Linked DNA regions of Oreochromis niloticus. The protein of the gene in region 1 interacts with the protein of each later gene in a pairwise test. Links are inferred from orthologs where the notes say so. Each region holds a gene or a part of one and is shown in the gene's direction. Other genes may lie near its edges.

Region 1 (7,108 bases):
ATCATGACTAGAGATGGACCGATCCGATATTACGTATCGGTATCGGTCCGATACTGACCTAAATTACTGGATCGGATATCGGCGAGAAATAAAAAATGTAATCCGATCCATTAAATATCAAAAAAGCACCTCACAAAACTTGCGACACGGCGTAACTCGGCTCATAACCGTAGCACGTCGCAGCAGTGTGCTCACGTGATAGAGCGGCTGTGTGTATTTGTAGCCTCGCTACCAAACCAGCATTTCATCTCCAAGAAAGTTATCCCAGAGAGAAGTAAAGCAAGTGTGTAAGTTCATCTCTGAATGTTTGTAAAGCATTCCCGCGTTAAGCTTAACAACCGATATATGGAGCGACTGCCTCTCTCTCTCCCTCACCTTCCTGCTGCTACTTCAATCATAAAACTGCTTAATGATCAGCTGATCGGCTTTTCTGTTGCGAGTCTGTCTCTCTTCTTTGTTTTTGGCCCACTTTGCACCAAAAAGAGGAAACCAGCGGCTGAACAACAGCAGCACGTTTAAACTTGATAAGCTGTTGTTAGAATTTATTTAATATTACTTTCTAGACCAGGATCCTTTTCTACGTAGCTGACGGCTGGTAACTGTGCAGGGGCGGATCTAGCAAAGTTTAGCCAGGGGGGCCGATAGGGCATGAACAGGGAAAAGGGGGCACAAAGACATACTTTTCTTTCTTATTCTCATTTAAAATGTCTAGCTTTTAATAAATAATTACCTGAATCTTACACCCAAAGTTTTAATCTGATGTAAAATGTATAGAAGTCCATTACTGTATATAGTAACTGTTAAGTCTAATATACCCTAGTAAGCTATAGTACTTTTTCCTTTGGGAAGATACCATCTGTGAATTCTGCAATTCTGTTGAAGAAAGATGTTGAATCTATTTAATTATTCTTGAAAAATAATTTATTTCTGTGCATTTTTTTTCACCCTGCATCAAATTAAAGTTGATTACGTCGATTAAGCATCATGAGGTGGAGGGTGGGGGGTGGTTCCGTATTTATTTTTTTTTGCTGGGACTTTGCAACCCTATTAGTTAGGTTGCTTAATATTTCTGCTAAGTACTCTTTAAAATACCAGAATAGGGAGGATGGAGTAGGTTTAAGTTTATTAGATTGATCAGTATTACTGAACTATGAAATATTTTGGGTGCAGTGTATTTTTTACACACAGGTATAACAGAATAGCTTTAGTGTTCTTGTTTATTTAAACTTGAGTATGAACTTATACAAAATGCAGCAAGATATTAAAAAAACAGTTTTATTGATTAAAAAACACACTATATCGGATTCATATCGGTATCGGCAGATATCCAAATTTATGATATCGGTATCGGTATCGGACATAAAAAAGTGGTATCGTGCCATCTCTAATCATGACATCGATCAGCATCTAAATGTGCCCCCTCATATGATTCAGTAGTGGTCAGTGGATGGAGTGCTTTGCCTGACTGCTGACTGTAACTGTGTCTGTTTCCTGACTGTGTCTGTTTCCTGTCCCAGATAACTGCAGTATGTAGAGAGGCTGCCCTCCTGGCCCTGCAAGAGGACATCAAAGCTCGGCACATCGAAGCCAGACACTTTGAAAGTGCCCTGAACACTGTGAAGCCCCGAATCCCTGACTCTGTCATCCAGTCGTATATCAGCTATCAGCAGCAACACAGTGGCCTGTGTTTCTTCTGACCACACCGCTGTGGAAAAAGTCAAAATTGGGATTTTCTTCGTTATTTCTATTAGTTTAGAGTTATATGTTTTAACTGTACCAGTCTGCTTCATTACACAGTGTTAAATGTTTTCAAACCACAACCTTAGGCCAAAGAATCTCATCAGTTTTAAAGCGGTGACTTTAAAATAACACTCTGTGTAGATTGCAGTGTTGACACTATTGCTTTATTTTTTGACTTTGAAGGATATGTTGTGCTGCCATGTTTGATCAAATAAAAATGATAATGTATTCATACTGTCATCGATCCATTCATTGTCTTTGGTTGCCTTATTTTAATCCCATATCAACAGTGGTGAGCCAGTGTGGTAGTTTGCACTGTTAAAGACGTCCAGCCGCGAATTTACAGCAGTATCAACGTGCTGAGAAAAGCCGTAAACTAACACGTCCCAAATGGCGTTAAAACAGTGCAGTCTTATAGATCTGACTGGATTTAAATACCTCCTACGCTCTGCTTTGTTGTAGCTTAGCATTCACCTATAAATCTGTCTGTCCTACATGTTTCCAGTGCCACTTTGTGTAATTTATGAGTTGTGGCTCTTCTGGATTTTGAATAACTCCTCCAGTCAAATCGCAGGTTTTTCTGCCTTTTCAGGACATGTTGGGTAAAGCTGCAATAAAATCGAAGTTGGTAAAAACGTTGTCTAACTGATTATACAGTTGGTGGGCAGTGTGAGCCCTCTAATCAGAATATTCCATATGCACACGGACATCTATGGAATTAAATAGCAGCATTAGACAAGGACCCCTGATGGTTCCTAAACCCCGAGTTTGGTGAACCGCTGCTCCGCATCCACGGGGAGAAAAAACAGCCTGGGCTGGTATATTCATCACATCTATCCATGGAAAATCAACTAATTGCTGTAATCGTGAGATTTCCGTCCGCACTTCCGACCACTGAGAGCAGGGATCCAGGCGGCCATCTGTCGGTCTACCAGGGTTTTCTTTATCATCAGAAGCTACATTTTTACATCGGGCCTGAAAAAAAAATAACCTCTAAGTCATTACTGCACCGCGGAGTCACTTTTACACTCCGCAGGTCTTTTTGTTCTATTCTTTTTTTAAACATTTGCTGACCCGAAATGGCACTGGGGGTCATTCATCTATTGATTTTTCCATTTGAATAGGATAAATTGACTTTGTATTGAACTTCCTTTTCTCATGGATCCGGATGTAGCGCATCCGCGACACCAATCAAACCAGACAGTCAGGAACAGAGAAGAGGGGGGTGGCAGGAGTGAGGAGGGGAGCCTTTCCCCCCTGGCTGCAGGGCAGCTTTTTTCTTAAGGTGGTCTGAAGCTACAGCGCACACTACCCCGCAAATCCCCACCCCACCGCTGCCCAAACAGAAATCAACACAGAACTCCTCCGATAGTGATTTCATATCAGAGAATCGTACAAACTGAACATTCATTGCCACACGTTGTATTTCCTCTGATGACACGAGTTAGTGCGTAATGGGAACATTCCACAGAGGACAGAGGACATCCTGTTGATGCTTCCTCTGTGAGTTGTCTGTACAATGACACAGCTGTGTGGGCAGAAACTGGTTGGGCTCGAGTTTGTATTTAATTCACAGAGACTAATGAGTTGGATGTGTATGGATGCCTGTTTCACAGCAGTACCGGTAAACAGCTACAGAGCACAGAAACGATGAAACTCCGGTTTAGGAGCCATTTTTCTTCAATATATGATTCGTTCTTATTTCTATAACAAACTTTTCTCTAGTCGCATGAGGTTCCTTGACATGTGCAAGATTTAACCTAATTTAACCATATTTATTAAACTTATATTTCTCATCCAAACCCTTTAATAATTAACTTTGATGTTGTTATTGTTGTTCATCCTACTCATATTTTCCTCTAAAATCCTATAAAAATATTTTTTGTTCCCAGTACAAATATATCAAACGCCCCTTTTAAAACAATATTCGGTTTATTTTTCATCTTATAAGGACAAACGTGGTATTTAGGTACACATTTTTGAAAAAAAGAAATAAATATTTATTTATTTAGCACTTTCTCAGATTCCCAAGGTAAATTCTGAATCTACGTAAAGTGGATTTCTTTCCTGTTTTTGATGCTTGTGTATGGTCTTTGTACCAAAAGTGACAACTCAGCAATGTTATAAATAAATACGGCGTTTAATACGTCACTATTAGTCACATCACCCTCATTCACACCATTAATCATAACCCACAAGAACGGAAACTAGTATTTTTTTTCTTCCCCTAGCCCCCTCGTTGAGTCAACGTTTGCGTTTTAAAAAAGCCGTTCCACCTTAACCAGTGCACACATCTCTATCGCCCGGCCTTCCACATCTGTCCAATGAATCAGGAGCGGATGCGATGTATCCTTTTTCAGCGGAGTGGCTGGCCAATGGGAGTTGGATTGTCGAGCAAACACTAAGCCCTGAGCCCCCATTCATCAGTGCTGAACAGGCCCGCAGAGCAGAAGAGAGCGCACCGCTGTCTGCAACCTAACGACGCTTTTGCACAAGAGCGCAGATTTCCCGCAACAATAACTAACAGCCAGAACTCAAATACAATTCTCAGCAGATACGCGAGGAGGAGAGACTTTTGGATATAAGCTCGCGCGTGTTTATTTATTTATTTTTTTCCCTCTCAGCCTTCTTCATCAGAGTTCCGCCGTGGATTTACTTTATCTTGGGACAGATGCACGCGTAACACACGCTGAACTTTTCAGTACGACTTAACCGAAAAAAAATAAAAAGGGAATAACGCAAAGGGATACATTCGCACTTGGATTAACAGACTGAATGTTATGCATTAGACCTCATAATCTCCAGCTGGACATTGCCCCTTCCGTTTGGATGGAGTTTTGGTAAATTATTTGGTTGATGGATTCGACGCTATGGATGCTTGCATATAGGTATGCATCTTCTTAGTGATTTCACGCTTATTTTACGCATTTTGCTTTGGTTTTAGGGCATTTGTTGCCCGATAGTAGAGCACGTAGCTACCTAGAAAGCGCCGCTGCAGCGATAAAGTCCAAATGTTTTGCTGTGCGCAAAGACTTTTCGTCTTATTTTCCATGTGTTCCCCATGAAATAAAGAATCCGCTGTGGGTTGAACTGATCGCGACTGTTTGGTGAAGTTGATGGATTTCCACGCCAGTGTTGTTCCGAGGCTGTGCTGTAACAAACACCCCTCCCCCATGGCGGTTGTTTTCATTCATAAGTTTTGCCCGTCTATTCGGACGCGTCCTGTAATGTCTCTTGATCTCCGGCTTTATAAGATCCTGTTTTTATTACTGCAAACAGCGCCTTCTCATGTGAGCGCGTTCTGTACATATGATCCTATTCAAAGTGCGCCATTTGACGCAAAGACTATTAAATGTATAGAAAATATTTTTTAATATAGTTGAAACGTGCGTTTGTTTATGTGCAAAGCAGCAAAATGGATCTTTCCGCTTTGATTGTAGTAGTTTTTATTTTTTTTTAATCGTCAATAGTTTTAAGGAGCCCTTCACGGGACAGCTAGGGTTTATGTTTTTGTAAACTGTAAGTTTCGGCCTCCTGCAGGTCGGCTGTGCTTCATAACATCCCCTAAGACTCAAGTTCAAATTCCTAATCGTATTCCTATAAATACAAATACGATATATATATGTATATTGGTTCATATTAACTTCAAAAATTGGGGGCTTCTCGGCCCTGAAATACCGTTTTAATCCGACGACTTTCCAGAGTTTTTTAACTGCAGTCTATATTTTGTCGGAACTTGATGTGACCTTAGTTTTCTAGCTCTACTTTTGTCCCCGTTTCCCTGAAATCCTTTTTGATGTAGTAATAGAATACTAAGTGAGGCAGCTCATTTAGTTCCCTTGGATCGTGTCCTCGTTTCGTCGCCGCGGTGCATTTAAATGTTAACTAGTCATACAAATGTAAATGAGTAGGGGAAGTATTTGTAGGGCCTGCTGAAGTTTAGATTTAGCCTGTTGGGGAGGAAGGTACAAAAAGTCTTAATAGTCAACTTTTTCCCGGGTTGCCTCACTTAACGGGATCAAAAGTGACATATTGTCATGTTGACAGGGTGAAAACAGTTGGTCTGGATTAACTATAAAGACACCTGCAAATATTAAACTAGCCTGCACAGATTACTTATTTGTCATTAATTTAGAATCACTGTTCAGCATCTTATGTTATAGCTGTGTAATAACTGCTATGGTATGGGTCAAGAATGATTGTAACGATATATTAGTATTAGATTTTTATTAGTATTATTTCTGAATCCAAAAACACTTGGGATTGTGTTAACCCCTCTTCCATCAGGACTGTGTTTCCTAGAACAAGAATTTTTTATTTTTTTTTGCTTGACTCTTTCTGATCATATCTCCTGCCTCTTCCTTGTCTCTTCCCCCCCTCCCTCTGGCAGGTTTTCCGATGCATGTCCACGGTGAATGTCGGAAGTGGTGATTCCCCCAGATGGAGCTCCAAAGTCAACATGGCCCTGGCGGTTCATTAGTGGTGATCCAGCAGCCTTCCCTAGAGAGTCGGCAGAGGTCGGATTACGAGCGGGAGTTCCAGCATGCCGGCATTTTCTCTCTGGAACAAATCAAGGCCATCCGCTCTAGCAACGAGTACACCGAGGGGCCCTCAGTGGTTCGGAGGCCCCCTGCACCCCGGATGGTCTCCAGACCCCATGAAAAGCAGGAGAGGACTCACGAGGTCATCCTCGTCAATGTGAACAACAATTATGAGCACCGACCATCAGGTCACCACCATCATGCTGGGGGCAGTGTGTTGGTTGGGGGACAGCAGTATGGTGGGCCTCGGGCACCAGGGCTCAGTCGCTCTACTAGCACAGGAAGCGCCGCCAGCTCAGGGAGCAATAGCAGTGCCTCCTCTGAGCAGGGACTCTTGGCACGCTCACCCCCCACTAGACCTGGCATTAGCTTACAGCATCACCACCGAGTGGATCGGCCTGTTCGGACTCAGCCGAAGCCCAAGGCCCTTTTACAGCCCCAGCAGGGACCTCAATTTTACCAGCCTCCACTAGAGGCTCCACTCAAGCCCCAGGGCAAAGGGAAATCAGACTTCTCTGGCTCTGGCAACGAGGTGGTGGCTGCTGCTGGGCACCAGTTCATCTGCGAGCGCTGTGGGAAGTGCAAGTGCACCGACTGCACAGCACCCAGGAGCCTGCCTTCATGTCTGGCGTGTAACGGCCAGTGCCTCTGCTCTGCTGAGAGTGCACTGGAGCACGGCACGTGTATGTGCCTTGTTAAGGGCATCTTCTACCACTGCTCCAATGACGATGAGGGGGATTCATGTGCTGACCACCCCTGTTCACTGTCACGTTCCCACTGCTGCTCTCGCTTCCTGTGCATGGGATTAATGTCGGTACTCTTCCCCT
Region 2 (7,618 bases), on another chromosome or scaffold:
TAGAAAACACCTGACAGCGAGAAGGTCATGTCCCTATTTTCTTTGTGGCTGAACAGAACACTATGGTTCAGTGGCTTGGGATGTGGAGTGCCTGGATCCTCCTCGTACCAAATTATCTCCACATCCGAGGGTAGTAGCCATTTGCCTCACACTTAACCATCAAGTCCTTGCCCTCCTGCAATAACAGGGTGGTTCCAACATTGAGGGAGACATGGGGAGACTCTGAGGAAAGGAGAGAGAAAAATAAATAGTAATTTCAATACCTAACAGCAGACAATTATTATAGTAACTGGCCTGTTTTATTTAATTCATTTATTTTAATTTAATATTCTTTCAGGTCAAAACTGGTGACATTTAAAAGTTAAAGTTTAGATTTGGTCTGAGTTCCAGAATTATAGGAAGTCAAATTTAGTAAGATGCATTTCAGGTTACACACTTAACAGAATAATAAAAAAAATATATATATATAAAATCTCCCACCCAGGCTCCACTGAGCATGCATTTTTATCACATACAGTAAGTTCAGCACGGACACAAACAGGCACATCAAGCGTTAGATCTGGATAAAGAGAAACATAAACCTGATCATCACTTACACCAATGTATTTTGGTGTAAGTGATGGAAAAACTGAAACTGCAAGTGAATTTCATTAACATCAAACATTGTAAAGATTATAGAACATATAAGTTTTTTGCAACTTTCTATCGATCCGCCAAGGAGGTTCTGTTTTCGGTCTCGTTTATGTGTCAATCTGTCTATAAACATGAACGCTTGAAAAGTTTTAAATGAATTATGATGAACCTTGGAACTGGTGTAGTGGAGTGTAGTGGAGTAACAATCCAACAAATAGATTTAACAGTTCATTAAAATTTGCCTTCCATCCATCAATGTTAGTTGAAAATAGATTCAGAAAGCAAAAAAACAACCTAATAACTAAGAAACTGAGATTCTTAAAAGTGTGCTATATATTGACAGCATATAAAAAGTACCATATAAAGATTTCAAATATCATGTCACATTTGACCTCTTACCTTTCCTTCAAGGTCAATAGATTGATCTGAAGGTCAAAGTAATAAAATGCTATAAAGAGCTATTTAAAAATAGGTTTCTTACTCTCATTGTTTGTACTGACAACATATACAGTACCAGTCAAAGGTTCACAGTTTCTTATGGCAAGCACAATAATCAATCATTACTTTAACAACTGGAGATCAGTCAGTCTGGAAAACTGCTAAAATTTTGAATTTGTCCCCAAGTGCAGTCCCAAAAACCATCAAGCACTACGATGAAACTGGCTCACATGAGGACCGCCCCACGAAAGAAAGACCAAGAGTCACCTCTTCTGCTAAGGATAAATTCATCTGAGTCACCAGCCTCAGAAATCACGAGCTAACAGCACCTCAGATTAGAGCCCAGATAAATGCCACACAGTAGCAGACACATCTCTACATCAGCTGTTCAGTGGAGAGTGTCCGAATCAGGCCTTTGTGGTCAAATAGCTGCTAAGAAAGCACTACTAAGGAAAAGCAACAAGCAAAAGAGATTTGTTTGGGTCAAGAAACACAAGAAATGAACATTAGACCAGTGGAAATCTGTGTTTTGGTCTGATGAGTCCAAATCTGAGATGTTTGGTTCCACCCACCGTCTATTTGTGTGACACAGAAAAGGTGAACAGGTCTCTACATGCATGGTTCCCACTGTGAAGCATGGAGGAGGTGGTGTGATGGTTAGGGGGTGCTTTGCTGGTGTCACTGTTGGGGACTTATTCAAAATGGAAGGCACACTGAACCAGCATGGCTATCACAGCATCCTGTAGCAACATGCCATCCCATCCGGTTTGCTATTAGTTGGACCGTCATTTATTTTTCAAATTAAATGAGAAGGTGTGTCCAAACTTTTGACTGGTAGTATAGACATATAGGGAATGGTCCAAACCTATGTACCTTGAATCTGCAGATATATATCCACCTTGGCGAACAGTGGATTCACGGACACTGAACAAATGTAGGTCCCTTCACTGATCATCGTGGTGGAGGCGAGGATGTAGGAGGCATCTCCAGCCGCAAGGGCATGTAGTCCGACACCGCTCCCCTTGGTCTGTCCTGTGCGCCTGTTGTAACTGAAGAGCTCAGTCCTCTCACCAGGGCGGTGCCTATGCCACTCTACGGTGACCTTTGCACCCTTGTGGTCGACATCAAACTGGCAGTGGAGCTTTTGCTGGAACTTCAGGCGTGCTTTAACTGAGGGAGTCTGTGTTTTGATGACCATGGCGACTGCAGAAACAGATGTGACAAACAACACAAGTGTCCTTTACTCAAATAGGTGACAACCACTTCCTGTATCTATGACATGACAATTATTTGGCCATCCACCATTCCAAGTCAATATAACTATAACTGTCTCTCTCTATTTCTACTCTAATCTCCGAGACACAAACACAGTTTCTTTCAGCACTCTGTCCTTAAATGTCTGCTACTGCAACAGGCAGGCAATTAAATAAAACCCCTAGGAGATAGTCTGTGGGGCTCAACAAAAACACACCATCCTCACATGTGAGTTTACCTGCGGTGGTGAGTACCTCTTTGTCAGCAATGACAGACCAGTTGTGGTAGTCTGGCTGCCCTGGGGGAGGCTGGTCAGAGGGGTGTCTGAGGGAGCCAGCGACTGCGAAGCGGCCCCTGCTGTGTCTGAGGATGCAGGTAAACCAGTGGTTGTACTCCCGGGCACCGAGGACAGGCCAGCGAATGTAAGTGCCCTCTGTGCTGTATCTGTGCAGCTCACACTTCAGCTGCTCTGCCTCCACCCCCTCCACATACTGCAGCAGATCCAACTTTGATCCTAGAAGATGATAAAATAAACACTAACACATTGTTGTTGTTTTTTCAGCCTTCTTCTCATGCAGGCTGCAGTAACTCACTGGTGACCAGGAAAGTGATGGCGTTTGGGTTAACAGGAGCATCTCCTTTCTGACCAAACTGAAGTATAGCCTCTCTGGGGATGACCCGGGTTTCAGTGTGGTTGTCCTTGTTCAAATACAAACGCTCATCAATGAAGTAACAAGGCAGCCACTGGATCTGATGGACACTCCACACACCTGAATGACACGAATACTTCAGTCAGACAGCATAGCCGTTGGAATTCATGCGGTAGACTAGAATATCTATAGTCACTTTTGACCTAACACGCACAAGCTGACCTAAGCTAATCTGTGACAACGTGTTGCACTATAACTCACCTGCACTTAGATACAAGTAAAAAAGTATCCTCAAGATTAAAACCGTCATTCTTTCCCGGTGCCCTCCACTGTCGGACTCCTTGTTGTCTGATGTCCACACAAAGTTTCTCTTGATACTTTCACTTTCATTTCAAAGGAAAAAGAAAAAAGGAGTGCGATTTCTGGCGTGATGAGCAGCTCGAAAACCAAACCTTTAAAATAAAAACCCTTAATCATAATCAAAAAAGTTAATAAAATCCAGAATATATGCTAGAAAAAAAAATAAATAAATAAAAAATCAGGATACAACGTCCTAGTTCTTTTTACAGCGTTCCTGTTTTCATGTTAGACGTAACATTATTGTAGCTGGAGCCTATCCCAGCTGCCACGTGGCCAGAGGTCTGTCTGGTAGGAAGACTGTGGTAGGTGCATATTTTACTTTATCCATTACCACACAAACGGACTCTAAACTGTGAGCGGTACCCGGTGTACTTGGAGTCATGGGGCAAATGTACTCCATACTCAGGATTACTGAAATGTGACTATGTGAACCACCGCACCACACAGTTTAATAAATAGTTCACAGCAGTTCATGAGGAGTCAACAGCTTGCAACAGGTCCTTTTGCTTTTGACTTTATATAAAACTCGTAGTACTGACTTTGCCCTGAGGTGTCGCTGTGAGCGCATGACGACAGCAGCCTTACTAGTCTTTCCGACACCAGAGCTGATGGACGAGAACCATGTCACTTCCTGTTAATCTCGTTTTACAGAAATTCACTATTTAGTTCACCTGAAAGTCCTGAAATAATAGCAGTGAATGTAGCCAAAGCACTCAAATAATTATTTCTCCATGCCCGATTTTAGGTCTAACAATCTACATCATACGTTATTTAGATATTGGGAGCGTAGTTAAACCACAACAAAACCTATCATGCATATGAGAACTGCTTGTGGTGGTCGAAGGTGATTACTGTCTGGAAGTTACTGCCAGAAGTTTTCCGCGGCTGTTTGTTTCATGCCTGAAAGCAAAGTAGTCGATGCATTATGCGGCTCTTGGTGCTGTTTGTATTACACCGAAATGTTGGAATCCCATAAAAAATGTGAAAATGGAGCTATATCTATTAACTATTAAGGAAAATATTTAAAAAAAAACAACAACAACAACAATAACCAAAATTGACATTCTGGGGCTACAGAGCCATAGAACTCTATTCATTCTGCCATATGCTTAGAGCGCCCTCTATGAAACCGGAAATCCACAGAGTGGGAGTTCTTGATCATGAATTCTCTCTGGTTGTACACGCTGATGCTAACAGCGGAAGCGCTTTATACAAAGTTGGTGTCACTCTGATAGAAACCTTTGCTGGGAGGTAGTTTCGTGTTTGCTCTCTACTTCATTGGAACTAAAATTAGCAAACTAGCTTCTTAGCATCCAGGTCCACTCTGCAGCTTTGACACTAATAATGAACAAAGGTAACCGCTACACTTCTCACGTTCTCATACAGAAAACACGAGTCACAATTTCTCTTATGCTGTAGTAAATGTTGCGTGTGCTAAAAGAAAATAACAGCAAACCGTGATTTTTCGCCATAATCAAACCCCCCCCCCCAAAAAAAAAATTAAATAGTATCAGCTTTAGCAGTTTAAGAGGTAATGCTGTTCTCTAACCGCTCTGCTGCATGTGTGTGAGAATGACAGAACAGCGACATTTTATTCTATATATATTTATATAGCTTGTATTAATTCTGTGTGGAACTGAAAAATACACACTAATACCTTATTCTACAGAGTGTGGCTGTTCATATAAAAGATCACGATTTAAAATAATGAGATACAAGTAACCTCTCTGAGCTCAGGCTTCACACCATGTTCCTTCCACTGTCAACTTTAGATGAGCCAGAGTTGAACTTCAGCTTATCCCCAGTCAAAAGCCATTTTCAAAGTGGCATTTTTTGGTCTTAAGATCAAATGTGTTGTTTTTTGCGCATCTTTGCCATTTTAGGCTAATTTAAGGAGCTGAGAGGACAGTTAAAAATTAAAAAAAAAATCAATTTCCTCTGGCAAATATGAGTTTTGATGCCTTTTCTCTTGTTCTTTCAGATTCGACAGTACTTCAGGGAGCTTTCCTCCTGGCTGATAAGCTGTGTTCCCCCTCATGCCTGTCCACCATTCAGAAAGCAGACTGGAGCCGGGTGGGACATGTGATCCTGGAAGCACTCAAAGAAATCTGCAGACAGGATGAAGTCAGTGACTGTCCCAACCGAGCAGCCGAGAGCTGGAAGAAGAGGATGGTTTGTGTTGTGTGGCTGAAGCTGCTGTGCAGAGAGGCTGAGGAGAACGTTGAGTTGGCTTGGAGGGAGAACCCTTTCTTCTCTCTCCAGAACAGCCTCCCTAAGGTCAGCCGTGTCGTCCTGCTGGAGCTGGTGAAGTCAGCAGCAGCTGCGGGTGTTTTTGCCAGTTTCCTCCTGCGTCTTCCTCACGCTCAAATCTGTGCTGAGCTGGAAAGGCTGGTGGAACATGTGAGGAGCGATCCCGTAGGGGAAGACGATATCCGACTCCTTCTGGAGGTTTGGTGGGAGCTGTGGAAAGGCAGAGCGGAAGAGAAGGTTGGAGAAGAAGAGAGCATAGAGAAGATGTTTGCCAGCCAGCTTGCTCACCTCTCCTCTGAGTCCTCCAGTCTGTCCCCTCAGGCTGCAAAGAGGTTAAAGTTAGACACGCCAGATTCAGCAGATATTCTGCACATTCTCCTTCACGCGCTTAAAGGCATGAAATGTCACATATCCTCAGCTGACCTCTGCTTTCAGTCCTTATCCATTTCCCTCGATGCTCTTTACACAACCTTCCTGATAGACCAAAACGTGGTGCTTCCAGCTAAAGAGAAGTTGGACTGTTTGTGTAAAATCCTCCAAGCCAGAGAGGAGAACATGGAGAAGCTGAGTCCTGAAATGATTCAGGAAGCTCTGAAAGACTTGCGTGCTTCTCACACACCTTCTCAGTTTCAGCTGTGCCAGATGAAGCTGAGTGAAGCCCTGAAGATTATCACAGAGCTTGCACAGTTTTGGCAAAGCAGTGTTCTCAATCAATGTGACCACTCCAGTCCTAGTTACTCTGCTTTCCTGCTAGAACAAAGCATCCAGAGGGTCCTGGCTTCTCTAGAGGAAGCACCCGGAGCTGGGACTGACGACTTTGAAGGAGAGAATGATACACTCAGAGGTGTGCTGAAGTCACTGTCCCTCCCTGTAGCAGAGAGCAGCCCTGAAGTGAGCGCAGAGGTCGCTGCTGTCATTATCACCCATCACCTGGAAGACTCTGAGGACTTTGCAGTGTTGTTTGCCAGTGAGCCATCATGGGCAGAACGTGCGGATCGCTGGCTCGACTGCCTGGAAAAAAACCAGGGGGCCTTCCGGCAGCACGGTACCCTCATGAGCCTCGCCTCCACCCTAATGAGCAGACTCCATAGCAAGAGCGCTAACGTGAAGCAGTGCCACAAACTGCTGAAAATCGCTTCAGGTATTTTCTCCACACTCACATTAGAAGACCAGAACAAAGCGTTGGCTGCCATGCTGAGATTATCCAGCAGGGGGTTCTTCGAGTGCTCTGTACCTGCTGCTCTAGCTGACGGGTTTGAACAGGAGCTCAACATGGCCTTCAATTGCATCATTCAGGGGGCGGGCGGAGCTTCAGCGGGAGCTTCACAGGGCAACCTGACTACGGCAGCCTCTCTAGTTGCAAGAGTAGCCTTTCAGAACCCCGAAGCCACTTTGAGGTCCTGCTGTCATTCGGCTGTTTTTAACAAAGGAGCTTTCTCTCTAATGGCTAAGATCCTGGAACAGCTGCCAGGACTCAGAGACCAGAGGGGAAGAAGAAATGGAGGGAGAAAAAAGGTGGTGTGCAATTTACTTGGCAAGTGTTTACAGGACGTGATCCAGACCAAGTCACTGTCAGCAACTGAAAAAGAACAGTTCCTCAAGTTCCTGAGTCTGCTCATGGAGCCCGTCACTTCAGCTGAGGGAGAAGGAAAGAGGGAAAGCATTCTGTCACCTCAGGAAGTCGTGAACACCTTTGTCCTGCCTAACCTCTCAGCTACAGGTGAGTCTCACATGTTTATGTTTACCACAACCTACATTAGCTAATTTCTTAACATTTTACAGTTGTGATCAAAAGTTTAGAGCCACTCATCATGGATATGAATATCATGGCAAGTCTGGGCTTTTAACATTTTCAGGGTGGAATGATTGTACAGCATACATGTGTAATGACTTTGAAAAAAACAAAACAAGAATTGGATCCACAAGTTTTAATTTATTTTCACTGATCCTGACAGGGTCAAAATTCTAAATGTTAAATGAAAAGGTTAAGTGTACCGTAGCAAGTTGCATCTTCATCAGAAACTTTTAGTTGT
Region 3 (7,683 bases), on another chromosome or scaffold:
TTTTATTCTCTAAGGTAGTCTGAGGTAGAGACAGGCTGGAATTAAGTGCATGCTGCCATTTTTCATCGTTCATTAATGCATAAAATCAATTTGAAAATGTGCACAGGTTCTGAACAACTACAGCGTGTGTGCGCTACGTTTAATTAAATTACTTGTCAGAGTAACAGATCTGAAACATTTTGTGCCTTGTCATTAATCTAATCTGGAGCTGTTTTTTTCTTTCTTTCTTTTCTTTTCTTTTTTCCCCCCCATCTGACTGTTTTCAGGAGAACAGAGTGACTGATGCAACAACTTGTAAGAGAGAAACACGGGTCTCTACAATGTATATGTGACAATATGTAACAAATGTTCCTTTTTAAAGAGGCAAAAAAGTAAGTGGAAGAATTCTTTAGTTACTTTTTTTGCATCCATGGACTGTGTGGTAACTTTGAGTCCGTGCCTGATGGATGTGTAATGGGTCATAACTGGGCTCATCCAAACTTCAGACCAGTAATGGTAAAACTTTTTTCTTTTCCAGTTATGCATGAGAACACTGTGGGATATTACTATGAAAGCATTACATCACTCACAGCTTCTTGTTTGAGGAAACTGATGGATTTCTTTTAAAAATCCTGGCATGGCTTATCCTCTGTTATTTATTGACGTTTTTGCTTGATGGGTAAGGCTTCACCTGATCATTACTCTTAAGTTTAGAGATGAGGTAATAGATATGTTTGGGATTCTTTGGGCTTAGGATGTACTGAATAGACTGTTCAACCTCACTGTGGAAACACATGCAGGCAAAGTCACGTTTAACAGCTGCTCGTAAGTGACCAAACCCTTCTGTTCTCAGGGAACTGCCCAGCAAGTTTGAGCCAACCAATAAGATAATTTCCTCACTCCTACACACTACAGTAAAGAAAGGGCACCTCAGTCCTTCTGGCTTCATTTTTGCATGGAGTGGAAACTTATTTCAAACAGCTGAAAGTGAAAGCACCTCCCTAGGGACTTTATTTCTAACTCAAATCATCAGTGTGTTTATTTAAGTGATTTGTAATAGGACAGCGGGTCCTGCAGGCCAATATAAATCATATAGGAATGACTAACACAATGGAAATACCACTCACAAAATATTATCCATGCAGTGTTGTAATGTAATCTAAAGGTGTTATGATAGTGTTATTGTTAGCCTCGCCATATAACATTTAAAAAATGTTATTGTTAAAAATGTTATTAATAATCCCCTTTAAGTAACACAGAAGCCAAGTTCATTAATCATTAGACCGATAAACCTTCTCACAAGTGCTGTGCAAAAAGATCATCCTACACCATTACAAATCTCCATAGGTTTCACTCAGGCACCACCATTTATCGTCCACCTAATGTAAATATTATAGGGTCAAGTGTTTGAGCGAGAAAAAGCCACTGAGGTTATCTACTGAGGACCCTCCAGAGTATATGTTTTGCTGGCCGAGACTCCCAGGGCCATTAGAAAGCTCAGCAGAGATAGTTTGCATACCAGGACAGAAATTACTGAGTCTTGACAGTTTCAAACCACCAGCTAGCTGACTATTCATTTCAGTATTTCAATATTTAATCTGAATGCTGAAATTTATAAGATGTATGAGTAACTCAGATGTTGCAGTGGACAAAAGTAAATTTACTGGTTAAACAATTGCCTGTAGAGTAAAGGGTTTTCTATCCTTATTTTGGAGTTTAATTTCAAAACATCCCCACAACCCAGTATTGAATTTTTATTACTGCATTGTTGTTTTGCAATGCAGTGAACTATAATTACTGAACATTCTCATTTTTCAAATCACACAAATATATGCACTTTTTTTCCTTTACAACCCACAGACCTTGACATTGACAGAGTGTCAACACTGTGATATTCAGTATGTCCTGAGGTTTCCCTCACCACACAGTAGTTCCTGATCTTTAACCACTGAACAGCAAACACTTGGAACGACATTCCCACCAGTTCAGAAGAAAAATCTTTCAATATTTATAGTCAGCTAGGCTGGTATATTCTCCTGGCTTTGTAAAGATATGATTATGTTTTCAAATCAGACAGATAAGTAACTCTACATTATTTATTTATTTTTGACATTCAGACTATATAACAATTTATTCTGTTAAATAATTAAAAAAAAATTGAACATTTTCTGAAGAAAGTTTGAATCTGTCAATATAACTACTGCTGTTGGAGTTATCAGGCAGCCCTGCATTAGCCAAAAGCCCAGACTATCTTCTTTCGGATGTGAGTAAGGTTTACTTGGCTGCTTAGGTCTTATCTTACATCTTTCCCTCTGCTACAACAGTCATGGCTTGCTTGGTCTCAAATATGTGATAAGAGCTAGATGGTGAAGCCTCTGATTGAAACGTAGGGATTTTAAAACAAACACGCAACTACGGATGATCTCATCTACAAACTAAAGTGCAGAATTCCCCAAAGTGTCTGCTTTGATATATTGTTGGTTAAAATCAGAGTTTTAGAAGTTGTTTTTAAACCAAAATGTAAGATGAAGATGCACCAGTAGTGCGTGAAAACAAGAAAAACACCAGTTGACAAAGACCCACAATCATTTATTAGTTTTACATTTCTTTTTTCTATTTTTGCTTTTTCTACCCCAAATTTTGGAGAAGTATTTGCTTATATGAGCGATAACAGATAACTAAATATCTTATATTTCTGTTGTTGCACAGTTACTAAGAGCTTTATACTAATATCTCTTTGGGTGTAGTCATCTCTGTTTAAGGTATGAAGAGCAGCATTAATGTGGACATCTATTTCCTATAGCTGACTGCTTTGCAAAGTGGAATATTCATTAAAGTGCTTTATATTTTGTTAAAATTGAAAACCTATGAGACGCTTTCGTTATTAGCCTCCTTCACCTTTTGCACCTGCTACAACAAAGCATCATCACTGGTCCTTATCTTCCCAAGGTGATCTTAGCTAGAAGCATTGCACAAAGGCATAATAATAAAAGGTTTAGTATAATATAGATCAAGTCCACTTTAGTGTGGGTCACTGACCCAAACTGTATCGGCTCTTTCCAGCCTTAATAGTCTGCTCCTCTGGGAGCATAATGTTTGGATTGGTTGGGAAATATATTGGCAATAAAGAGACAAAAGGATGTCATAAATGTTGATTAAAGCTCTGGTTAAAAGACAGAGGCAGAGAGGCTCTGAGTTATGAGGGCTTTTCAGACTGCGTTATTGTTTCAGTGACAGAGCTCTTAGTGTGTCTAGTGGAGTGGCGAGTGGTAAACATTTCTCAATGTGTGAGGAGTCATTAATCCCTGGAACCGAGGATGGCTTCACTACCAGTGTCTGTGGCCCAAGAAATCACAGCCAGTTGGCACCAGCAGGTCGTGCAGAGCTCCAACATAAATGCTTTGTACTTCAGAGCTGTTTAAATCTCTTCTATGTGCTGTAGCTAAGGCACACTCTAGAAAAGGCAACAGGCAACGCTCTGTGTTTTGCACATTCAGTTCATTTGCCAGTCAAGCTGTTGATGATACATTGAGTCCTGCCAGGTTATAGCCTCACTGTGAAACATAAGCAAAATATGAAACCAGTTTAACGAAAACAAGTTTCTAAGGCCCTGACAGTAACATCACGGAGTAATACAGTATGCAGATTGTCACCGAGGCTGAATCGTAATTCTGGCAAAAAGGAACTTTCCTGTTTCTGGAATCATTAGACTTGGTCATGTATGTTTATTATAATTTATTTTGAAGAGATTCCAAGTTTCATAATTACTTTAGTTTTCTACATAGAGTTTTCCCAAATTCTACTTGAATTTTTGAATTAGCAAATTCGAGCACTGCTAGTCTGAGAACATTTGTATTCTTGCATGAAAAACACTTCACTCATCATGTTACACAAGCATACACAAGGTACATTGTAAAGGTCAGTTTCTGCTTGGTTCCTTTTTAAGGGGGACATTTACTGTGTTTCCTTATTTTCTCTCATGTACATAAATATATAATATTACAATTATCAAAGCTCCTGTGAGAGGAAACAGCCCTAATAAAGTCATCCCAGTCATCTAGCCTGATGTTCAAACCTTCTGTTTGCAAGGGGGAGTCAATCAATATAAAGCTGGTGTAAAAGAAGTGTGGCTTTTGGTAGAGGAGCTAAAACAGCTTGGTTCAGCAGTGGATTTGCTGAGAGGCTGTGGCTAATGTTCAAAGCTACTGAGTCCAAGAATAAAGATATGGAGCCTAGAATCAGCAAATATTAGAATTATTTTTATTTACTTGTAAGGCAGAAGCTTCTTATTATAAAGTTTCGATTTTGTTGGATAAAGTTTGCAGGGTCTTGATTATATTTCACGCGTGGTACTGTTTAGTGGGTTTTCCCGTTTATCGCTCTCGCTGTTGTCAGATAGAAGCTGCAGCACCGCACGTTTATTTGCGCTCATTGCTCTGTACTGGCGCTCCAGCTTTGGACCACACCCACCAAGGGCCAGCGGCGTTCATACATGCCCCGGGGCGTGCATTTGCAAACTCCGCCCCGCTGGCTCCACCTACCAGCGGACCACAATGATTTAGAAGTTCAGGAATCCCACGTGACGTCACCCAGGGTGACGTTATGCTTCTCTAAATAGATCGTATTGTAATCTTTTCTCAGTCCAACGTGGTTTCTTCTGAGAGACTGCTTCACATTTTCTGCACTTGTTTGGTAAGTTGAAAGCCTTGCCACCATGCAGAGGACCGTGCACGCGCCTCTGCAGGTTTGTTATCTTTTTATTTTTATTTTTTTAAAAAGCGATTCTTCTCACTTGTTCTTCTCCCTTTTTCATGCAACAGCTTGTTTTCTCGTTCGCTTCAGCAGTCTTTCTAAAGATGTGATTTTGGTTCATTTTTTTTCACCTCCTCGTCCAAAACTCCTTCGTCTCCGCAGGTTTGTGTCGTCCAAGTTTTGTTTGAGTGAGTGCATTGTCATGTCACTTCGCGCTCCGTGTGTTTGGCCTGTCTCGCGGAGTCAAGTGCCGCTGCAGCTCGGTCTGTCAGGTAGCAGCGGAGGCAAGTCTGCAGAAAATTATCTGAAATGACGGAAAAACGCGAACATTTTTAATGCAACAGACGCTTTTCGTTGCACTTCACACCAATTTGGCACGTCTTCTAAGTTTTCATTTAGCTCTAAATCTCCGAAGCTGGACCTCTGCATCATTGTCATGCCTGTCCCATCCAGGGATACGCAGAGCAGGCTAATCTCCGGGACTCGTGCGTGCTGCGGTTCACCAATGACTGTCTGGAAGATAATGGGCCGGTGGTTATGCTGTTACCCCAGTTTACAAAAAAAAAAAAGGGGGGGCACTAATACCCCTGTTTACGTTAAATTTATGTCCCCCTTTTTCTCTTGAACAGCAATGTTCATCAAGATTACGTCATTCTGCAGGCCAGTCGATATTTGATTAAGCGCTAAGATGTTGAGGGTTACTTTGAGTAAGGTTGTGCTGACGGTGCGCGCTTTGTGACGGAACGGCTTTTTAAAAAAAGAGAAAGATGCTTTAATTATTTGATTGCTCTCCGGCCGCTGTCATTATGTTTATGTGACAGCACTATCAATAACACATGTTTCTCGTACACGATTCCACTTATTGTGCCCGAGTTTTTATTCGGTGTGGTAATAACGCCGGTTAAAGTGTTATTTATGTCTGTTGCGACGTTTTTTCAGCATTTAATATAGACTGGGATGGAGTTTCTTTGTATGAAAGCTTTTACAATAATTTTTCTCTTTAAAAAATATGTATCAGATTGAGAAAAGTTAACTTGCTGGACAAAAAAAGCATTTTTAAAGCAAAAATACATAATCCAAAAATAGTTCATAATAATTATTAGGATTTACATAAACTTAGACCAAGTAGCATAAGCTATAGTTAATGCATTTAAACTCACTTGTTTATTCTATAATAGTGTTATTTACTAACCTTCATGGATATATGTTTTTTACATGTTAAGTTGGATTGCAGCAGTAAACTGTGAGCTGCATTTCGTGATGATTGTTTTATGTGCTTGAGGTACCCCTGGTAATGTCTGTACTAATATAGAAGGTGTGAAAAGGTAGGAAGCATAAAGGCAGTCTCAGGTCTGATCAACAAGTACACCACAGACGTTAGAGCATTTTATTTTAATACTAGAGCTTTCTTTTCGCCTTTACCTGCAAAGTTCTGCAAAGTGAACGCTAAGAATAATACAGTTAGAATAATGTGAGCAGTGCTAATCCCATGCTAGACCTCAGAGCATTCATTTTTTGATTTATGAGTTTATGTTGAGTCAGAGACCAGTAATTGAAAGCTTTTGAAGTTTATATTTCAGTCAGACCAGTCTTCTAGTCATGCATTGAGTTTAAGAGCAGAAGTTCAGTGCAGACATTGTCAGAGAGGTCCCCCGTACGTTGCCTCAGGGATCGCCGTAATCCTTCCTTCAACTTGTACTCTCAAAAGCCCAGGCTATGGCACTGGAGCTGCAGATTTGAATTGCTGTGCATGTTTGTGCTTGCTTTAACCCCATATGCCTTTGCACCCCAACCCTTCTTTTCCTCACCATATTGTTTAAATTCTAATATGCGGTCTACCTGCAGAGTTCTTCCCAAGTTCCTCTTGAAATCGAATGCCGGACCCTAATCCTTCCCCTCACTTACATCAGGATACAGTTAATGTAAAGTGTAACCAAATTTCCTCTGCTAAACGAAAACATCTATATTAAATGAGAGCCAAGTGCCCTGTCCAAGGAAAGGGCGTTGAATGCTGATAATTTGAAGTGTGAAAGCTATTGGATAATTCACAGAGGCATTCGCAGAATTAATGGCTGGAAGTTTTATGCATCATATGGTTTGAATTTCCTAGTAAATGTGAGGGAATGATCGAGTCCCGTTTTAGAAACAGGAACAGGAAGGTAAACGTTTCTGTTTTTTACAGTTATGGAAACAATTTTTCTCTTATTTTTTTTTTAATGGCTTGCTTTAAAGTTTTTATGTTTCAAGAACTGTTTCAAATTCATACTGGCAATCAAGAGGAGAGCTAGTAAACAACAGTTCCAACAAGAGTTGTGCAAACAGCTGATTCATGCTGTTTCATGAACATTTCCGATAAAAAAGAAATGGGCCTTTATTTAATACACGAATGAGTAGCGCCATTTCTACAGGCACTGTTTTTGTCATCTCGAGCTTAGTTTTATTTAATGATCAGCAGTGTTGGTTGTGTTTGTTGTGTCAAAAGAGACCAGGTGAGTTTTTAGGGGCCCTGTTTTAAAGAACTGAACTGGTGATAGAAAGACAGACCAGGTCTCATTGCTCCCTGACAGAGAGACCCTTTCCAGACCCTGTTCAAGCGGGCTTGCTCATGAAGTACAACTTGTTAGGAAAACAGGACTGCTTAGCATAACACAATATTTGACTGTTTTGACTGCGCTTAAGGAAATAGCCTGTACCTATGAAAGAGACACACATGCACATAGCGTATGAAAGTATTCATGGCTGACACTTGACATGCCGTACTGACTTATTACAGGCTTATTACAGAATTACAGATGCGCTGCGGTTCTTGTGAACTGGTAGCAGGCAGAGGTGATAATAATGCAAGCGATAAAAGGAAATGTTTTATGTGCCATTAAATGAAAATGATGTGGTCCAGTATCAGTGTTGTAAATACTGCAGATGTTTTACTTGTACTGAGAGGACACATGATAA

What was found.
Region 2: the proteins of spry1 (region 1) and gemin4 interact in binary tests that used the Homo sapiens proteins (3 or more experiments, as listed by UniProt). The link is inferred for Oreochromis niloticus from reciprocal best matches to the Homo sapiens genes SPRY1 and GEMIN4.
Region 3: the proteins of spry1 (region 1) and creb5b interact in binary tests that used the Homo sapiens proteins (3 or more experiments, as listed by UniProt). The two-hybrid records come from large-scale screens. The link is inferred for Oreochromis niloticus from reciprocal best matches to the Homo sapiens genes SPRY1 and CREB5.

The regions. Positions count from the first base shown.
Region 1 is NC_031966.2:11,001,226-11,008,333, reverse strand, and holds the start of spry1 (protein sprouty homolog 1), read left to right. Parts: upstream 1-4,036; 5' UTR 4,037-4,628; intron 4,629-6,130; 5' UTR 6,131-6,180; coding exon 6,181-7,108. Other genes in the region: afg2a (spermatogenesis-associated protein 5), read left to right, coding at 1,518-1,697. UniProt on the Homo sapiens protein: Inhibits fibroblast growth factor (FGF)-induced retinal lens fiber differentiation, probably by inhibiting FGF-mediated phosphorylation of ERK1/2. Inhibits TGFB-induced epithelial-to-mesenchymal transition in lens epithelial cells.
Region 2 is NC_031979.2:1,528,619-1,536,236, reverse strand, and holds the start of gemin4 (gem-associated protein 4), read left to right. Parts: upstream 1-4,527; 5' UTR 4,528-4,679; coding exon 4,680-4,689; intron 4,690-5,316; coding exon 5,317-7,305; intron 7,306-7,618. UniProt on the Homo sapiens protein: The SMN complex catalyzes the assembly of small nuclear ribonucleoproteins (snRNPs), the building blocks of the spliceosome, and thereby plays an important role in the splicing of cellular pre-mRNAs.
Region 3 is NC_031976.2:18,511,198-18,518,880, reverse strand, and holds the start of creb5b (cyclic AMP-responsive element-binding protein 5), read left to right. Parts: upstream 1-4,607; 5' UTR 4,608-4,693; coding exon 4,694-4,723; intron 4,724-4,797; exon of another isoform or gene 4,798-4,893; intron 4,894-7,683. UniProt on the Homo sapiens protein: Binds to the cAMP response element and activates transcription.